Saccharomyces cerevisiae S288C: one gene and its partners. The gene in region 2 interacts genetically with the main gene of each other region. Each region holds a gene or a part of one and is shown on either strand. Other genes may lie near its edges.

Region 1 (4,565 bases), on a different chromosome or scaffold from region 2:
AAGTGTATATGCTCCAGCTTTTCACAAACTCTTTAAATTGATTGAGAGTAATAGCTGCTCTCCAGAGAAACTGACTGTTTTCAGCCGTTACTGTTGATGCATTTGGGTCCGAAGGACTGTAAATTGTGACTTCAATATCTCCAAATCGATCTGACAATAAAGAACGTAGCTTTTCACCACCGTAATTCAACAAAATTTCCCGTTGGTTGTCGTTCAGATATTTACCCATATAATCCTTGCTCCATCCATATTTGTAATATACATTCAAGGCTTCGGGAAAGTCCACAAATTCCGGCTGAATATAAAACCAGAATGCAAAAGTTCCATCACTTCGTAATATAGAGGAAACCTGCTGAAACAGCCTTTCTAAATTGCACCAATGGATGGCTTCTGCTGAAATAACCATATCTACACTTTCTGGTCGAATGCTGGATAAATCTTCACCAGGCGCATTAATAAATCTAATCTTTTTATCTAATCTACGTTCATTTGTTTCTTTCTCAGCAATCGAAAGCATAGCAGAAGAAGGATCAATCCCAATCACTTCCTTAAAATAGGGTTCAACGACAAAAGTTGCTTTTCCTGTGCCACATCCAATATCAACCAAACTTTTGCGTGTGCCTTTGTGAAATTTCATTATCTCATTGACTAAAGATAAAGGGTAAGAGGGACGTACGTTATTATAGTGAGCAGATTCAAAATTTTTGTTTAAATAACTAGTTTTAGGCATTCTGGATTCTTCCATTGACAGAAGACTGGCTTTGAAGATGTACTGAGTGTAAAAGGGTTAACTTGAATTTGCCCCTTTAGTTCGTGCCGTTTGTTTATGTTTATATACGTTCCCTTGGGGCCGCTAATTAGAATGCTAAATATAGATCGTGGAAAACTTTCACTACAAAGCTTCTCGTTGTTGTGTTGGCTGAACATATACTAATGAACTGTTTAAATCAGGATTATGGACCGGTGAGGGAACATAATCATCTCTTCATGCCTGAACCTGTATGCCACGATGATGGAAGGCATACCATTATTCATACTGTACTTGCACCTCTTCTGAACTACGCTAGAATTTATTCTTCAGAAAATACCAGGGATATCCTTATAGATTTTTTTTTTTTGGCATAATCAACTCTCTTGGGTATCTTGCCGCATTCATTTTACATGTAAAGTCCAGCGAGATACCTTGGCAACTAAATTACAAGCAGTCTCTATGAAATTCAATAATGTGCCAAGTTGTTAGGTCAACAATTTCAAAAAGCGTAAGAAGCCGCACAATGGCTTGCATAAGCTATAATAATAATAGTAATCCAATATTTCTTATAATAAATAAACTCAACAGGAATTGTAAAAAAGTATGTATCTATGTGAATAAAGTGAGAGAAAAACAGATCCTCTGAGAGGAATTCTCGTTTTTTTTTTTTGGGGGGGGAGGGGATGTTTACCTTCATTATCATTAGTTCAAGTCGGCAACAGTTTTTGACCAGTTACCATAATTGACTCTACCGTATTGGATATCAGCAATCCATTGAGCAACTTGCTTGGTCAATGCACCACATTGTTCACCAGGCAATAGTGGAACATGAATATCTTCGTTGTTCCAGCCAATTTCCTTGATAGGTGAAACGACAGCAGCAGTACCAGAACCGAAGGCTTCTAATAGTTCACCTTGTTTTGCTCTAGTGGCGACTTCAGTAATAGTGTAATAACGCTCGTTGATGTCCCATTCTTGAGGATCTAGTTTGTCACGAGCCAATGTTAAAACAGAGTCTCTGGTAACACCTTCTAAAATGGTACCATCTAATGGAGCGGTAACCAATTCCTTCTTGCCAGTGACTTTGTTGAGGAAAACGAAGAACACGTTCATAGTACCAACCTCAGTGATGTTCTTTTCTGGGCCGAACAACCATAGATTTTGTTGGTACCCTCTTTTGGCAGCTTGTAGTTGAGGTAAGATGCATGGGGCATAGTTAGCACCCAATTTTTTGTCGCCAACACCACCTGGCCAAGCTCTTGTAGCATAGTCTGTTGCTTCAAGACGTACGGCTTTGAAACCAGTCTTATAATAAGGACCGACTGGAGAAGTAATAACATAAAGAAGAGCCTCGGAGGGAGTGCCAACACCTAAACCCTTGGATGTACCAATCATTGTTGGTCTGATGTATAATGAGTAACCATTACCTTGAGGAACCAAGTGTTTATCTTGTTCGATCAATTTCCCGGTAAGTTTGATCAATTCTTCAGATTCGAAAGTTGGCAAACAAATTCTAGCGGCAGACTTGTTCATACGGGCCATGTTCTTATCCGGACGGAACATGGTGATAGTATTTTGAGGAGTTCTGTAGGCTTTCAAACCTTCAAATAATTCAAATGCATAATGGAATACACAAGCAGATGGGTCAAGAGAAAGATTACCGTAAGGCTTGATGTGTGGAGTGCCCCACCCTTCTTTGGCTGACCAAGGAATGGTCAACATATGATCGGTGAATGTCTGGCCGAACACTAATTCTTCATTTGGTCTTGGCTTGGATGGATTTGGGTTTCTAGTAATTTTTAGTTTGGATGCATCTAATGGGGCACCAGTAGCGAGTGTTCTGATGGAGAATTTCCCCAACTTCAAGGAATGTCTCTGCAACATGTTTTAGTATGCTAAGGTTCTAGCTGATTTTGCGTTTATAGGGTGATTTATTCTAACGAAAACATGTAGTTGTTACCACTAGCTCTCTTTATAGTGCCATTTTTTTCAGATGCTTTTTTTTTTTCAAAGCTTAAAGGCCGGTACCGGCAAACACAATAGAATTTTGAGTCATAAGAAGGCAATATGGATCGGATGGGCCATTAAACAAAAAGAGAGCCAATTCATCAGTAATAATAGCGACAGCCGGTATGAAATCTGCACAAAGTATCAACCGCCTGGCCTCTATCAGTAAGATCATTCAATCAACCGTACACGCGGTACTTATCCAGCGTTAACATTTACGCTTTACAGTTCAGCTAAAAAAGAACACATTATCTAGTTAATGCCTGGGAAGGCCCTGGCAAGATACACTTTATCTAAATTATCTACTGCTCGCAAGGCAATGCTATCAATTTGAGAAGTGCAGAAGGAAATGCCATCAAGCTTGTGGTGCGCATTTCACTTTTAAGGATAATAACAGAATTTAATGGCTTGATATGGACGGGCGGTTTGCGAGCCTTACTATTGATAGGAGTATTCGTCAAGTCCAGGGCGCCAATGTGACTTATCGCGCTGTGGGTGGGTAATTCTACCTCAGTTTGCTTCTCGAGGAGTTTGTAGCATAAATCTCGTTAGAATAGTCAAACATACGGTATCTTTCTTTCTCTTGAAAAATTAGTACAGTCTACAAGTTTTCCTCATTGGCTTTCAGACGAGCATTTGATTGTCAAGTACTTTCCGGACCACCTGCGATAGTTTCCCTTGTCTACTTGAGCAGATATGCTCTTACTGACTAGCAAGAATGATAACAAATTTTATCAGTAAACCCTTTCCTTGCCGTAATTTTTTTTATTTTAGCTTCGTAATTTTTTTTTTCGTATTATTTTTCTTTTTCTTTTTCTTTCTTGATATCATAATCATGGGGAACTTCTCCATATAACAATAGAAGCTAAATAGGTAAATAACCAAGCGTGCACTGATACAAAATAACGAAAAGTGGCACAAAAATGACATTGACTATCAAAATAGGAACCTTAAACGATAGCGATCAATCTGCAGTGCATAATGGTACAGAAAATGGCTCTGATTTTCGAAAGATAACTCCCACAGAGGAAGAGATCTGTGATGACGTAGTTTTGTTATGGAAGGAAGAGCCCGGAACTGAAGACGCTACGATTCAGCATCTTTATGACAGGATTACGGAAAGAAATCAATCGTGGAAATTGAGTGCTTCTCGTTTTCGAAAAATTCTAAATGAGCACCATCTTTATGACACAGATCTAGAGACCGTTTCTCTATATAAAGATAAAATACATTTTCCAAAAGCCCTAGATTCTGATGCTAAGGTCGAAGTGAAATTTATTGATGACGAACATGGAAGGGGCCTTTTCGCTAAAAGAGATTTTTCCAAGGGCCAAATCATCCTGAAAGAAAATAAACCTATCGTATATATTCCACCACTGGACAAGCTTTTTTTAATATCTAATGGAAAGGCATGTGCTCGATGTGGTAAGGCGCTATATGATTTGACCCAGCACAAAATTATGGTCCATTATTTGGATTGTGAAGTTTGCAAAGCTATTTGGTGCAGTGAAAAATGTAAAAAAGCACATGCGTCGTTACATGAGCTTTTATACCACTCATGGAGATCGAATAGAATAGACATTCTTCATGCTGGTAATTGGAAAAGATTTGTTAACTACTGTGAGAAATATTGTTTTACCGCTGCCTTTTCAGTTGGTCTTATATATGGATCCATGCTTTTGGATACTACAGGAGAGGTCAAAGAGCAATGGCAAAAATTGGCAAGCATCTCACAAAGGGAAAGAATTAAATTAAGAGACGCCAGCGGTATCGGCAGTACGTTTAGTTTACTGAATGGTACAACTGT
Region 2 (5,900 bases):
TTTGTATGAAGCCAACGAGATACTTTTTCTCTTATTGAAAATTCTTTTGGCCTCTGTTTTGTTAGTCTGGATACTGAAAAAAATGTTTAAGATTATTAAATCACACAGGAATGAAATTGTTATTAGAAAAATTATAATATACATTCTATATAGGGAAAAATTTCTTCTGACTTTGAAATTTAGATGCTAATAGTTTTTTTTATTATTTCTATTTTTTTTTTTTTTAAGATCAGTTGTTTGCTGCTGGCACCTCCACTGATTCGTAATTGCTAGCCGTTATTGAGTTCTCAAAATGTTCCTCCTCAGAGCTTTTGTTAATGATGAAAAATGAGCCTAAGATGAGGGTAGCACCAAATAAATAGAGCGCAGACATGGTTTTGTGCTTAAAGATTACATCACCAAACATTGCTAGGGGTATCGTTATGCTCAATCCTACGGTGACGGTTAAAGGACTCGTTAGTAACATAGCCTTTGCCCAACAAAAGTCGCTAACAAATGTGATGAGACAATTGACGAAGATTATTACCACAACTTTAGGATCTTTGGGCAGAGAGAATGGTTCCCAGCCAAAAAAGTCCAATACAATCAGTGATGGCCATAGAAAAAGTAAATTAAAGAGACCAACAAAGCCAAAAAAAATCTTCATGTTAACACGAGTCTCATCTCCGACTTCTCTCTTCAATAAAGTACTGTAGACACCGTAAAGTACAGCACCTGCAAGTGCCAACAAGTTGCCTATCAGAACTTGCACGGCATCGTTATCATCACCACTAACGTCCGCGATATGGCGTTGGTAGCGCTGATGAGAATCTGATTTGGTGACCATGATTATGCCTACAAAGGAAATGAACGACCCGAGTACTTTGGACTTGCTCAACGATTCAACATGACAAATAGCACCTATGAACAAGGTGAAAAAGGAAGAAGTAGTGGAGAGGATTGTCTGCGATGCCACCGATGTGAATGCCAGCGAGGCATTGGTCACAAGGTTAGCTGTGAACCAAAGTATGCAGAACTCAGCACTTAACTTGATTGTTTCATATAACGTTAGCCTCTTCTTTTGGTTGGCATGCGTGCCTGCTTCAAGGTTTGTAAGCAGTGGGCTAGTCATATCAACCGAGCGATTGCTATCACTACCAGTACCTTCTTCCTCCATAATTAGTTCGCGGTGAACGTTTGCACGGCCTGTGTCCTTGTAATTCACCACAACGGCCTTTGCAGTTGGAAAAAGATAAAAGATAAAGGCGGCAGTATTGGTGTACGTGATAAAGAATGGTTTTCTATACGAGTCATCCTCGAAGATCAAATTTATCAGGAAGGACGATAAAACCCACAAAATAATGACTAGACCCAACATCAGAAGACCCAAGGTCCACCTCTTATTAAAGGACGTTTGATCCTTCGACACCATGGCTCTGTTGAACTTTTATCTGAGAGAGGAAAAAAAGGAAGGAAAAAAAAGAAGAAACTTCCTTTATTTATTTGTCTTAACCACAACACACAATGCAATAAGATGCAATATAATATCAAAGCCAATATCTTATGTTGCTGATCCTGAGAAGGAATATATACAATTTATGTAGTAAAATACCTTTTCTTCTGCGAGTTGCAAGAAATAGAAAAGACTCCGATTGCGCATCGCCAGAATAAAATTTCACAACCACACTTTTTGGCTGAACTTTTTATTACCTGATTAAACAGAGAGAGAAAAGGTAGAGGTCAAAATTTTTTAAGCAAAACTAAAAAAGATGCAAAATCACGTGCTGAAAATCTAACATAAGGGTTAAGATTAGAGTTTTATAGGACTTGTTTTGTAATATTTCAAATACGAGCTAACCCTACTGATTTCAATTAGGTCTAATTTAGGGTTGAGCTGCACTGAAATTTCGGAAATTTTGGGTTATTTTAAATGAGACAGAAGAACTACAGAGATACGTTCTTCAGACTTTAAAGCTTATCTCCACAAAGAATTGGTCAAGAAATCATCCTAGAAAAACACGTTTGCTCACTCGATCTTAATCACATAGAGTGCTGGAACGGGAAGAAATGGGTATGTGCCTCGGTTTTTCTCATTAACCCCTTTTGATCCATAACGGTCCTCTTTTGTTTCCTTTTTTTTTTTTGTTTTAGTATTTTATGTTTACTATTTTCTTCTGTTTCAGTCATACGTAGGAATTATTGCATGAAAGAGGATATAATATTCATGTGGATTTTTAAGAAAATAGATCAAGTTTAAATAGCCACTAACAATTGAACAATGCTCTCTCTTGGCCTCTTTTCTTCTTTTTTATCGTTTCTCTAAAAATCAAGCTGATTAGACATGGTCTTGCAATGTTTTTGCTTTCTCTAATCAGCTTGGTTTTCCGCAAAGAAGAGAAAGTCACGGAATTGTCTACATATGTTTCTATTCAGGAACAAATAATACATCTAATAATAATGGCACTACGAAGAAAATGTCCCTAGAAGAATTTCTAGGGAACGACACTTTAGGCGAGTCAGTATGGGATGAGGAAGATATTAATTTGGATGCTATAAGCAATACTACGAATATTGACATCTTGAAACAAACCAAGGCAGGCGAACATCAACGTGATGGTCACCAACAGCACCCACACGGTGGTCATGGACCCATGAACAGATCACGTTTTTCTAATGCAGGGCCTTTTGGTGGTGGTAGCATGGGGGACTTTGCAAATCATCACCACCCGCTGCAGCATCAGCAAGGTCCTCCTTATATTGTGAAGTTTTCTGATTTACCACCGAGATTTTCCAACTTTGACATTGAAGATCTTTTTCAAGCAAAGTTTACCAAGTTTATTAAGTTCAAACTGTTTTGGGAGATAAATAAAAATCCAAGTATTTCTACTTTGAAATCGGGGTCAATCTTTGATCAAAATTTCAAACGTGACTCGAAGGTAGCATTTGTCGAGTTATATACATCCCGTGATATGGACAAAATTTTGAACTATTGGACCACTCCTTTGAAGGAAATTTACCACATTACAACAGCGCCCGCAGAATTCGAAGATTTTAAGGATTACAGCACGAAGGTGAAATTATTAACAGACCCTAAAGACGATGCTGGCAAACCATTCATTACTAAGACTCAGCGGTCAAAATCCAATCCTTTTGGAAGTGCTAAACCGGTTGATACGCAATCGAAGATTTTGGACATTGAAGAAAAAATGGAAAATTTACACGTGGAAGATACAACAACCCTGAGGGCATCATTAATCCCTAGTAGTGATTCTATGGCAACCACTGCAACAGGCAGCAAGATCACAATCTTGAAAAAGCAGACACCTACAGAGGAGGAATCACATTCTGCAACCCCAACTCCCAAACCTTTAAGTTACTCTGAAGTAGTTGAGAGATCTGTGGTCAATGAAACTTCCAAGAAAGGAACTCCATTAAGCAAGCTTGACTCACCAGCTCTTGAACTACAATCTAAGCCCGATAAATCGGACGAGTTCAAAGGTGGCGATGAACAAGGCTTTGAGAAAGGTGGCGACGATAAAGCTCAATTAGATGTCTCAAATGATAAAGATAAAGGTTCAGAAACCGATGTTGATAAACAGTTCACTTTCAAGAATGTGGAAAGGGAACATAGTATGAGCAGAACCAAATATAACGGAAACCATAATAACAATAATGGCAATTTTAGAGGGAGTAATAGATATCGTGGAGGCCCCAATGGCAGCAGTTATAAAGGTGGGCATAACAATCGTGGTAATCGCGGCGGATATCGTGGTGGCAGCTCATACAACAACAACAACAACAACACTAATGATAATAATAATAATAATAATAATAGTAGTAGTAATAATAATAACGGTTCAAGATATCATGATCGACAAAACAATGAAGAAGGGTTAACCTCGGATTCATCTTTAGATGCCTCAGGAAATAAAAAGAATGATTTCACGAACTCAACATCCAATACACAACAATATTCCATTTTCAAACCAGCAAGTGGGTTCCTTGGCCAAGGTAATAATGATTCTATAAGGAACAATGGACGCGGTAACTATAACAGCAGCGGTATGAATGGAGGTTCGAGAGGAAGAGGATTTGGCAGAGGAAGGGGATTTGGCAGAGGCGCATATAACAATCGAGGTAGTCGTGGTGGACGTGGAAGCAGCGGTAACTACTCCAACTACAATAACAGAACAACAGACATGCCTTTATGAGTCATGTACTGACCCATTAATTTTCTTTTCTCTTTTTTTTTTTTTTTTTTTTTTTTCCTCTATTTCCTTTTTTTGTTCTAGTCGGTTACGCAGTTCTGAGTAATGTAATATAGCGTTCCTTTTCCTCTCAGATTTTTTTGACCTTATTTTGTTTCCACTTTTTACTACTTATGCTGCTTTTTGTCCATTTCCCCTTCAGTTGTTTTGAATTTTTTTTTTAAAAAAAATTCGTCTTTCTGATTAATCAATTTTGATTATATATTTTCTCTTGATTAGTTCACAATTTTTATAGGCCCTTATTTCTTAAAGAAGTTTTATGAAGTTTCGTAAGTATTGGGGGGGTTGAAAATAATCTCTCACGTTATACGCAATAAAAAATTAAAATTAAGGAGAACCAATCTATAGAAACGAACCATTGAATTTAGCTATATGACTATATACCATTACGTAATTTATATAAACAGCTTAATATAGCGAAAGCAAAGTAGAACGAAATTTCGGAGAGTTCTAGATTGTATAGAGCGAATGAGCATTCAATACACACGCGAAGGCAGTAGGCGATGAAAGGAAGTTTTTTAATGTCATTAAGAAAAAGATAGGGAACTTCTATTTCCTGTCTTTCATATATATATATATATATATATATATATATATGTGCATATGTACATCGTTGAGTTGTTCATGAAATAATGAATATAATACTTCTGGATTTTTTAGTCAGTAAATTTACTGTTGAGATTCGTTATCATTTGTGATGCTTGTTTCCATCATTTGCTGTTGTTGATTAGCCAGTTTTCTTTCCTGTCTACCTTTCTTCATAACTTGCTTCAAAGCTGCACTATCTAGTGGATCTAACAATTCAAAAGAGCACAATAAACCTTCGCTGACGCTCATTACAGCCCCCCAATTATCAAATTCACCACAATAATTTGGCGCGGAAAACACCGTAACGAGACTTCTATCATTGAAAAATTCATAACCGTCTTCCACAACCATGTGAGCTCTACAAACCAAATCAAACCCAAACTTGTTCAAGAATTTGTTAATTGCCACCTTATTATAACAGTAACTTACACCACGTTCGTTATCCTCCCATTCGTTGGGTGAATCTGTGGGATCGGACCACAAAAGATCATTAATTAAGCCAAAATCTGGTACATCAGTAGGCCTAACTACATGTCTGATTTCATCCATAGAATTTAAAACTGGCGACAATCCACCATGAACACAAAAAATCTTTCCGGCTACGATAGCAGCTAATGGTAATGTATTAAAAGTATCGATGAATGTCTTCCAGATCTTGATGTTACAACGACGTTTACATTCATCATAAAATCCATAAACCCTTGTGACGTTAGCACATTCATGGTTGCCTCTCAATAAAAAGAAATTTTCAGGGTATTTTATTTTGTAACAAAACAATAGTAAAATAGTCTCCAGTGACTGTTTACCACGGTCCACATAATCACCTAGGAATAAATAGTTCGAGGATGGTGGGAACCCACATTTGGTAAAAAGCCTTAAGAGATCCCCATATTGGCCATGAACGTCGCCTACAATTTTTACAGGAGGTGATAATTCTAATAAGGAAGGTTGAGAAAGAAAGATTTCACGAGCCTTGATGCAAATCTGTAAAATTTCATTGTTCTTCAAACAAACATTTTTTGTTCTCTTAGCAGCGTAGCCCGCATCCAGTAATTTTTGGATAGT
Region 3 (6,050 bases), on a different chromosome or scaffold from region 2:
GCCAAACCAGCACCATTGACTAAACATCCAATGTTACCCTTCAACTTAACAAAATTCAAATCATACTTCTTTGCCTTAACTTCATCAGGATCTTCTTGTGATAAGTCCCTCCAGGAATATATCTTTTCCTGTCTGAATGATGCGTTATCATCAAACCCAAATTTGGCGTCTGTACACATGATTTTGTGGGTTGGATCATGTTCAATTTCACTCAAAGGGTTAATCTCCACTTGTGTAGCATCCCTTTCCATGAATATTTTATACAAATTGGAAACAGCTTTTGCTGCCTCGTCTTGTGCATCGGGACTGAAACCGAGACTCTTGGCAACATCCTTGGCCATTTGTGGGCTCAATCCCTTTGAAGTTTCAATTGAAAATTTCTTTATAGCATCTGGGGTTCTCTCAGCCACCTCTTCAATATTCATACCACCTTGACTGGACGCAATGATCATCGGTTTCTTGGTTTGTCTGTCCATTAGAATAGATAAATAAGCTTCATGCTTTGTATCTACTCTTTTCACTATATATACAGCAGATACTGGCTTCCCCGCTATTCCCGTCTGTTTAGTAATCAGGTTATGATTGAGCATTTCTTTTGCAACATCCTCTGCCTGCTGAGGACTTTCGATCATGTGAACACCGCTTTTGTAACCGGTGTCGAAGTGACCTTTACCTCTACCTCCGGTCAATGCCTGCGCCTTGATGACCAGTTTGTTAGTGTTTAATTTCTTGGCTGCTTCGAAAGCCTCTTCGGGAGTGAACGCTGGAAATCCTTCTGGAGTACCAATACCGTATTCCCTCAATAACTGAGCTGACCTGTATTCATGAATTGACAAGTGTCTCCTTGCTTGTAAAGCAGCTTGCGCGTTTAGCCTGCTTAATTGCCCACACTTTGAAATTAGGGATAAGGATTTTCTTGAGTACATTTTGTTCAGTTGCAATGCTTCAGTATTTTTTTCGATTGTATTGACTCAATCCTTATTAATCCTAACTACCTAAAAGTCAGTTACAAAAAAACTGGACTATCGCTCTATAGTCACTGTTATTTTTCGAGAGAAAACGTCAAAGTGCTGATAAGGAAAACGTCGATCTTATATAAAACCTCAAAGATGTTGACTACGCGGCAATTGAAAGGCCAACCAACTTTTAGAATACTCACTCCGCCGCTGCGGGGAAAAGCCGAGAATTCCCGATGAACACATAATCGATACCAGTTGGAGCATTTTTCTCTGTACCAAGACATAAAAAGAGTTTTTTTTAGTATCTACCTGGCTTTGGTGTTCCATTCAAGGTAGAGAAGTCCTCATACAGTTGGAGAGATGAATGTATCTGTGTATATGTATGTATATATTAATATGGCTACGATGTCGTCTAATACCCCTTCTTCTTTTGTTTGGTGATGTGTGCACGTAACACTTTTTGCTTGTCTCGTAGTGACATTTTTTGTTTACCTCTAACAGATCTCTTGTGAATAGACATAACAAAGTTCTTCCTTCTTTCTTTTTCTCTGTTGGTAGTAGAACGCATGTTGTCACGCTTACCGCGTCTACTACCAAATTTGTCTCTACCTTCACGACCTTCCAACACCTTTTGTAATCTTTCCTCACGAGACTGTTTGTATTTGATAGGGCCTGTTAGTGTACTTGCATCAACTAACTCTTCACGCTTGTCTTGTTTGTGGATACCCATTATTTTAGCAACGCTTTCCTCATTACGCAATTCTTGTAGTTTAGCGAAATCTGCCGGAGTTAAAATACGTGTAGAAGCAATTTCACGGAAGGCAGCTTCGGGATCTATATCTGCATCTTCTTGCTCATCCTTCACTTCTTTTTCATCGTCATCATCGCTTAGTTCCAAATCGGAATCTGATTCCTTGCCCTTAGCATTGTCTTTTTCATCGTCACTATCTTCCATATCAACGTCATATTCTTTATCACTATCCATGGTGACCCACTCACCGTCGACATCGTCTTCTTCGCTATCGACATCTACTTCCCAGTTGGCATCAGCGTCTTCATTTTCACTCTCTTCACCATGTTCTTTCTTCCATTTGGCTAACAGTTCGATACCAGCAATCCCTTGAACACTGTTGTCGGCACCAAATTGCGGTCTTTTTGAATCTTTACCTCCTTTCTTGGCTTCTTGTACTTCCATGGCGGCATTCTTACCACGATCCTTCTTCTTTAGCATTTCTGGTGCCACGTCTCTATACAACGCTATCAATGACTTGGCAGCCATATTGACACCTTTAGCTTTAGACCCCTTATATTCTACCAGATCCTGTAGTAGAATCTCATCGATAGCCAAAGGTGCACGAGAGCATATTTCTCTAATGGTATTAATGCCTGCAGCAGCGACTTCATTGGCAACACCGTCTGATACAAACTCGTCTGCAATCTTTCTCACCATGACATTTATAACTTCAGGAGGGACAAGATCATGACATGCTTGGGCACATGCGGACATAATTCTTGTAACATCTCTTTGTTTCGGAGTTAAGTACTTTAAAAAAAAAGTATAAATTCCTAAAACAATTAACTTATGGGTACCAATCAACCTTGATAACAGCTGCATCAAAGATATTTTTTGTTCCATGTCAAATTTGTTTTTCGTTTTGCCTGAAAGATGTTCCTTAAACAATTTTTCGGCAAATCCTTGTGGATCTCTCAAAAGGTGGATAGCACTGAAGTTTAAATACCCTTGAGGAGCACCCGGTCCGTTCTTCTTCTTCTTCTTCACAGTTTTTATGGCATTCTCCAGCTTCTTACCACGTCTACCCGTTTTTTTATTGACTTGCATCTTATGCCTTAATGCATCTAAATCAAACCCATCCTCATCCTCGGAATTTTCTTCAAAATTTTCTTCACGTTCTCTGTCAGCATCCAAAAAAAACATCACACCAGACATGACAATCTTAACATCCTGATGTAATGCTGCTTGGGTCATAATTTCTACTGTTCTTGAATCATCCCAAATACCACGTCTCCAAAGTTCTCTGGTTAATTTTGTGGCCCAGATTCCCTGGGAATCTGGTTGATCTAACAAATTAAAGCAAACGGCCTGCGTAGATTTGTTCAATTTTTGATTTTTACCATTAGTATTACAACTTTTTAATAAAGAAATTAAATTTGTATAAATGATTTTCCTCAATTCCTTGGCGTGTGAATTAACGCCGAGTGAATTACCATGGGAAGAGTAAGCAACCAATAAAGGAAATAAGCTTTGAATTAATTCCTCAGCAGTAATGACGTCCTTATTCCTTAACATCGTCAAACAACTTAAGATTTTTTCTTTCAATTCAAATGGCAAGGACTTATGGTGTTCCAGCAAAAGCTGCTTTAATTCAGACGGGAAGTTTGCAGTTTCACGAGGAAAACATGAGCAGACTTGAGATACGAAGCCAACCAATTCAATAAGTTGCGAAGTTGAAGTGCTCATGGTGGTACCGTTAGTACCTGCCATTGTAGAAGATCCATTTCCTACATCGAGCCCATTAGTGGCAGCTGCAGAATCACCTCCAGCAAGCCCATTTAACATAAAAATGTCCCTTAGCGATTCATAATGTGCATATTGTTGAAGAAACTCCTCTTGATAGGACTCTGGGTCACGCTTTACCAAATTCTGTAAAAGAATGATATTTGTTGGGAGCATAGCTGCTCTACTTCTTCTACCCATTGTTGATGCCCTTGATTGGTATATTCAGTGCGTCTTGTGCTTCCTCCTTAACTATTATTACTTATTCAAAAAAGTGACGTTTGATATGTTTTTTTAGTGGTAGAACGTTCTATCTGTTAAGCGTGTTATGGTTATCTGCGATGAGATGAGTTTAAAATTTTCATTTTTTAGCCGATCAAGCAAAAGAAAAGAAAAAAAAAAAAAACTGAAATTTCCACCTTACCCGTTTTTTTAATGGAACAGTGATTGTTACGACATTGAGATTTTAGATTTATATAATCACATACATATTAAATAGTTAATGCACCTTTAATTCTTTTGCACTTCATGTTCTATATATTTTAGCCAAAACCAAATGTATTGCGTCTTTATTTCCGTTCCCTTTTTCCTTCCTAGGGTTGATTACCTAAACGTTACCTAAACAAACCGTCAATGGCGTCGTAATTAATCTTCTTGGAGAAACTTGCCTTCTGCAACATGTTCTTGACACTATCAGCAGTTGTGAAATCACCACTTTCCTCAGCTGCCTTCAATGCAGCGTGTAAACCAGACTTATCTTGTAAGTCTGACATCAATCCGATAGCTGCTGCTGCATCCACAGTTTTTGTAGGTTCGTCACTTCTAGTATTATTCCTACGTCTCGTACGTTTTTTTTTCACTGATGTGTTACCTGTGGCAATATCTGCCTCCTGTTTCAAACGTTTACTCTCTTGTTCAAGTAAGAAATCTGCGTTCAGACCAATCCAAATTCTTTCCTTCAATTTAGAAGCTTCCTCGTTTAATAGGTGCGCGTTTAACTCCTCATCATCAACATCTTCTAAATTATCTGGGTCGTCACTAACTTTCGAAAGGTATGTGTCCGTTGTGGGTAACAAGTGTAAATTGCGAGGACAATATGGGTCTGTTTCTAGAGAGTAACCATCAATGGCATCTTGAAAATGCCCAGATTCGTTCTCTTTCTTTTCTTCTGATGTTTTTGTCTTTACCTTCTTGACTTTTTCCTCAGTCCCTTCCGTCTCTTTGTCTTCCCCTTCAACATGCTCGTTCTGGATAGAAACTTCAGAAAGTTTGCGTTTCCTTGTTTCGTTTTCAGAACCTTCATGGTATATATTTTCACCATCTATACCATTAGTAGCCTTAATCCTCTCCACAACACGGGCCCTTCTTTCTGAAAATTGTTTTAAGTAAAACAGGACTTCCTTGGAAGACAGTTCTTGTTCTCCTAATACTTGCGTCAAAATTGGATTTTTATTCAATGCTTCTTCACTTGTTTGAAACATCTCTTCTTTGTCTAAAGAGTCCTTTATTTTTCTTTCTTTCTTTCTGTTCTTCACAAAGGAGGGAGGCCTAGCCTCACCGTCTTCCACATCATTTTCTCTAAATTTTTGAACTGAAAGTTTAGCAGCCTTTGTATTTTTGAATTCGTTCAACCGTTGCTGTAAAGTTTCCTCGGCGACATGTGAAACTGCGACGATCTCTGTATGAGTTCTTCTCAAATTATTCATCCTGCAAGCTAGTAGAATACATGCGCCGGCAATACCTGCAGGTCTACGTCCTTCAAACATCCAGTCCTTGGACATTCTTTGAGCCAATTTTACGGCATCTTTTACCACTTTGATCTTCTTGTCAGCAAGATCCAATTTTTCGGCAAAATGTTGAATGAATAAGGAAGGATCCGCTAACGGCAATTCTGTGATATGTAATTTCTTTACCATTTTCAAAAATGTGGCTCCTATGGAATACACACTCACCTGTAACCTTGAAGAGAAGTCGATCAGCATATGATGCGTCTTTTCCTTTCTACATGCAACGTAAAGACATGAAGCGATAACATTTTGGGACCTACGACCTTGTACAAAGTTATTAGCCAATGCAAGCTTATACCATTGGAAAGCAGCATCTGTGATATATTCCGGGATATGTAATGCGTAAGAAACGGCGCGTAATTTCCTTCTTGCATTGTTCAATGTGGCTTCTCTAGATTCTAGAGCACTAGAACCACCAAATGCAGCATGACTTTGTCCTGCACCGATAAAAGAACCTTGTACTACAGCAGCACCTGCACTTGTTTCACCGAATGTAACTTCAGAGACGATAGGATTATCTTCTGAGACAACACCACAAGCTTTACAAACTAAATCGTTGTTAGCATTGGAAAGATCTCTCTCAAATTCGGTTCCGTGACAGTTCTTACACACTGGCATTGGTATATGACTATGGACTCTTTTTTATTACCGTTTTTACCATTGGGATTGTTCTTGATGCGATCAAAAATATGATTTTTTTTATCATACCTGATACTTCGCGAAAACCTTAGAATAGCAAATAAGGCCATCGCAACATTAATAGACAAAAATTAGAGTCACTTCACTTCG
Region 4 (4,623 bases), on a different chromosome or scaffold from region 2:
AATACCAGGATGTCGGAATTGATATCGCTTCTCCGTGCAATTATGGCGGGAGGGAAGAGTTGGAGCTATTTAAAGAAGTTTTTAGTGAAAGAGAATTTAACGGTTTACTGAAAGCGTCTGATCCATGCACAATATTTACTTACTTATGGTCCTTGAAGGAGTCGTATACAAAATTTACTGGAACTGGCCTTAACACAGACTTGTCACTAATAGATTTTGGCGCTATCAGCTTTTTTCCGGCTGAGGGAGCTTCTATGTGCATAACTCTGGATGAAGTTCCATTGATTTTCCATTCTCAATGGTTCAATAACGAAATTGTCACTATCTGTATGCCAAAGTCCATCAGTGATAAAATCAACACGAACAGACCAAAATTATATAATATCAGCTTATCTACGTTGATTGATTATTTCATCGAAAATGATGGTTTATAATGCCAATTTTTTTTTTTCGCTTGCTCACATTTATGTAATCGATAGACTCTTATTACTGTTTGAACTTCAAAAACAGCACCTTTTACTAAAATCATTAAATATTTCTTGAGGTATGCATAATTCTCCATTAAATTTCCCCTCAATTAATGCTAACGCAGCGCTCCCTAGACAGCTGTGATATAAATCAGCATCTTCTTCGTCATTTTTACTAAAGCCTCCAGTTAATGTTTTTTGCGTTCGATCAAGCAAATAATTTGTGACTAGTTCAGTTTGGCATAGCATTTTCCAATCCTTTGTTAGTAAGTGTAGTGAATTTAAGCACCAAAATGCGTAACACGTATCAGCGAACTTGTTCTCCCTTCCCTGGAAACCGCCATCATCAGATTGATCATAGCTGGCATTCAATTCGCTTTCAAATTTCATACATCCATGGCTTGATACTTGCCTATGTAATAGCCAGGTTATGGTGTCTTCTTTAAACTTGTCTGATAGCTTTTCCAAACTAGAGAGTAAAGCTAAGGTAGACAGCGCACAAGATGTGTACCCTGAGTGTGGTTCATTGTGGGCACCGAAAGCTCCGTTGTAGCATTGTTGCGACATTATATAGCCAAGCAACTTCTCAGTATCAATGTATTCATCAAAGTCTTCTTTGGATCGGCATCCGCATATGTACAGAATGGCAACTGCGATGTAGCAAAACCTTAAATCGTCTGAATCAACCGAAGATCCACAATTTGTCTTATAGTCTAAACAAGATACAAACGAGCCACGGTCAGGTCGTTGGCACTTAGAAACAAATCTCGCCAGGCTTCTTTTGTCTAGTATAGTCTCAAAATACTCGTAATCTCTCAGCATAATCATGGACAACAATGCAAAGAGAGTATTTGGTAGATTAATCGTTGTTGCGTGAGGGATATTCATGACTAAGCTTCCAACAAATCCAGATATCACAGTATTTTCTGTATCATCCAGCACTGTTTTGATATAATGTTTGCGCATCCAGCCAAGATGATCGCCGTACTTCGCAGAAACGTTAACATCAAATATAGAGAGTCCTGAGATTGAGTAGAATATTATCGCCATTCTGTTCACGTCATGTCCCTGATGTGAAGAGGGAAGCAACTGTAGATGTCTTTCGAAAAATTTCCTATGCTTTTTAGTCACAACTCTACTCGGGCCATTGGTAGCTTGACACATTTTTCCACGATATAGCGGTGGGCAGAAGTGCTTGAAAGTACTTGTTCACGTTGGATAAATAAAGGTTTTCTTAAAATTGAAATTTAAATTGCTAGAGATGACTTGGGGGTTAGTGACCAAGTAATAGTTTTGAACTGGCGGGTGTTTTGATTGTATACTATAGTCACTGAAACTATTGCTTTTCCATTCTTCCAAGGCGCAACAACTCAGAAAAAAAAAAACAAGTGAATAAAACAGGTAAAAAAGAAGATCATTTAAAGGTTTTACAAGTGTGATATAAATTTTATTTTTTTGCTTTTTTATTTAGCATTATTTACTTATATGTATTTTGTTAAGACTATTTTTGGTTATCATGATAGAAATGGCATAAGTTTGGGAGTGAGTGAATGTAAAAAACAGTGAGGGAGACAAACTCAGAAATACAACCTGAATGAGGCAATCTCAAAAGGTCTCAATTTAATGGGAATTCTGTTTATTGCATGATTTGATTCGTCTCGCGTTGCTGTCAAACTCTTATAAACTTTCATCTCCAAGTTATCGACCTTCTCAATACGCTTCAAATTTAGTGTGGTATTTAGTGAAGCAAAAGATTCCCCGCCAAGAGATTCGTAAACCCTTACCACAATACTTTGTTCATCCCTTGGATTTAATGAATAGTTGGACTTGACAGCACTATCATCTTCGCCTCTTTTTATGTTAGACAAAATGACATTCTCATCTCCGGAAATGCTTATGATGTCATCAAAATTCATGCCAATATCTTTGGGGAGTTTGTATTTGAAGCAATAATTGAATTCGTGAGCGAGCTTAACAGTGTCGCTTGATAGTGCTCCTCTATGTGGATAGATAGCATATTTTATCTCATGAGTACCCATATCAGCATGCGCATCCGGAGCCTTTGGTGACCTTAATAATGATAATCTCATCAAGTTACCGTGTGTGGAAAACCCATATTTGCAATCGTTCAAAATTGAAACACCCTTGCTGTATTCAGAATAATCAGCAAATTTGTGATGGCAAACCTCAAATTTAGCGACGTCCCATGAGGTATTATAATGTGTTGGTCTTTTGGTAATCCCGAATTGAGTTTCATACGAAGCAAAATCGTTCCGAATATTAACGGGAAATTCAACTTTTAAAAATTTGTTTCTAGCATCCCAGTTTTCTACCGTCGTAGAAATGTCTACTTTACTTAATTTAGCATCAGTGACCGCAGTTGCATTGAGTGATATCACTGATTTGATTTTGCATTTTTCGGAAATTTGAAAAATGACCTCAACAGCACATTTCTCTTTTGTGTTGCAGGAAACTTGAACTTTCTTCGGCTTTGTTACATACTTGTATTGGTTGACGGAATAAAGTTCAGTATCCCAAGCCTGCCAGCCCAAAGGTTTATCATCATAAATAACAAACTGGTTGGCGCCCAATTTGTTTCTGCCATGTTCCGTGTCCAGGTATTCTACCCCCAAAGTTTCATCCGTAATGCTTGTGATCACCCCAGTCTTTTTGCAAATGATAACTTTCAACTTCCCATTGGCAAGGACTATATAGTCATCGTACCCGGTTACAGAGGACGTGTAACTACCGTTCAACGAGCACTCCTCAGAAACCTTTTCTGGTTTTGACCAAGTTAATGTTCTCATCTCAACCAAATCTGCCTTACTCTGACTCTGAAGAAATTGAACGGTTTTGTCTATTAAGGAAGTACATTCTTTCACAACGTTGTGCAACATAGGGACAGCCTCATACTTATATACCATTTCAATACATGATCCTGGTAGAACATCGTGAAATTGACATAACAAAACATTCTCCCAAAGTTCGTTAATCTGTTTGGAAGGGTATTTATACGAATCGGGATATAAAACTGATGTTTTGGCAGCTATCCATTCCAAATCATGTAGTTTAATTTCGGACAACCTCATTAATTTTTTGGTCTGAGCTTGACTGGTGTATGTCCCCCTATGAAATTCGAAATACAATTCACCACTCCATGTGGGTAAATCATGGCCTTGGTTAGTCCTTTTCAAAATGTCATCATAAAATTCATCAACCGTTATACCAACTTGTAACTTTGGAATAACATTACCATTTCTGTTATTCATGGATCTAATACGCCTCATTTTTTGCAGCATTTCCTCAGTTGGTCCTCCACCACCATCACCCTTTCCGTACAACATTAAACCGGAGCCGTAATATTCTGGTGTCTTATTCTGCTTGGCAGTACGCAAAACATCACCGAAGTGTGAATCTGCTGTATACGTATTACCAGGAGGCATGTGAGTCAATAATTGAGAACCGTCAATCCCTGCCCAGTTAAACGTGCTATGCGGAAAACTGTTGATGTTATTCCAGGAAAGCTTTTGAGTCAAAAATTTATCAATACCAGATAAGCGGCAAAGTTGTGGCATTTGCGAAGAATAACCAAAGGTGTCAGGTAACCAAAATATCTTTGACTTGAGACCAAAATGCTTCAAGAAAAACCTTTGACCAAAAAAGAATTGCCTTGCCAGCGATTCCCCTGAGGGAATATTGGTATCATTCTCAACCCATGTACCACCAACAGCAAAAAACTGAGATTGCTGAATTTTTGGAATTAACACTTTATTGAAAAATTCGGGATGATCTTCTAATAACCATTTAAATTGTTGGGCTTGTGAAGCAACAAATTTATACTCTGGGAAGCGATCCATTAAAGTACATTGGGAAGACCAAGATCTCACAATTTTCCTTCTTGTTTCTGCGAATGGCCATAGCCAAGCTGTATCTATATGACAGTTGCCGATACCATAAACATTTGTTAAAACTTGAGATTCACCTTGTTCGTAAACCTTACTGCTTTCTAAAAAGGAGTCAAAGTATTCCCTTTGTAGTAATTCACGACATTTACGAACACTTGAACGATCATTCGGGTCAAAAAGATTCATAACTGCATTGCCTAGTTGTCTTGCCTGGTGTTTTTGCCAGGAGTCTCCAGGTAGCTCTCTTGCAG

What was found.
Region 1: mutations in PSP2 (region 2) and BAT1 together harm fitness more than expected from each alone (negative genetic interaction), as found in Saccharomyces cerevisiae (2 studies listed by BioGRID).
Region 3: mutations in PSP2 (region 2) and SDA1 together harm fitness more than expected from each alone (negative genetic interaction), as found in Saccharomyces cerevisiae (2 studies listed by BioGRID).
Region 4: mutations in PSP2 (region 2) and CDC43 together harm fitness more than expected from each alone (negative genetic interaction), as found in Saccharomyces cerevisiae (2 studies listed by BioGRID).

What each region holds. Positions count from the first base shown.
Region 1 is NC_001140.6:515,602-520,166, reverse strand, and holds BAT1 (branched-chain-amino-acid transaminase BAT1), read right to left. Parts: upstream 2,636-4,565; coding exon 1,454-2,635; downstream 1-1,453. Other genes in the region: CRG1 (S-adenosylmethionine-dependent methyltransferase), read right to left, coding at 1-730; SET5 (S-adenosylmethionine-dependent methyltransferase), read left to right, coding at 3,682-4,565. UniProt on the Saccharomyces cerevisiae protein: Mitochondrial isozyme of branched-chain-amino-acid aminotransferase, involved in the biosynthesis of the branched chain amino acids (BCAAs) leucine, isoleucine, and valine.
Region 2 is NC_001145.3:234,542-240,441, forward strand, and holds PSP2 (Psp2p), read left to right. Parts: upstream 1-2,046; coding exon 2,047-2,050; intron 2,051-2,412; coding exon 2,413-4,190; downstream 4,191-5,900. Other genes in the region: YML018C (uncharacterized protein), read right to left, coding at 230-1,411; PPZ1 (salt homeostasis regulator), read right to left, coding at 4,917-5,900. UniProt on the Saccharomyces cerevisiae protein: DNA polymerase alpha mutation suppressor. Suppressor of group II intron splicing defects of a mutation in MRS2. May play a role in mitochondrial mRNA splicing.
Region 3 is NC_001139.9:978,394-984,443, forward strand, and holds SDA1 (Sda1p), read right to left. Parts: upstream 3,676-6,050; coding exon 1,372-3,675; downstream 1-1,371. Other genes in the region: LSC2 (succinate--CoA ligase (GDP-forming) subunit beta), read right to left, coding at 1-926; transcription factor TFIIIB subunit BRF1, read right to left, coding at 4,089-5,879.
Region 4 is NC_001139.9:211,089-215,711, reverse strand, and holds CDC43 (protein geranylgeranyltransferase type I subunit CDC43), read right to left. Parts: upstream 1,632-4,623; coding exon 501-1,631; downstream 1-500. Other genes in the region: LYS5 (holo-[acyl-carrier-protein] synthase), read left to right, coding at 1-434; AMS1 (alpha-mannosidase), read right to left, coding at 2,045-4,623. UniProt on the Saccharomyces cerevisiae protein: Catalyzes the transfer of a geranyl-geranyl moiety from geranyl-geranyl diphosphate to proteins having the C-terminal sequence Cys-Ile-Ile-Leu or Cys-Val-Leu-Leu. Acts, among other substrates, on Rho1 and Rho2 and CDC42 proteins.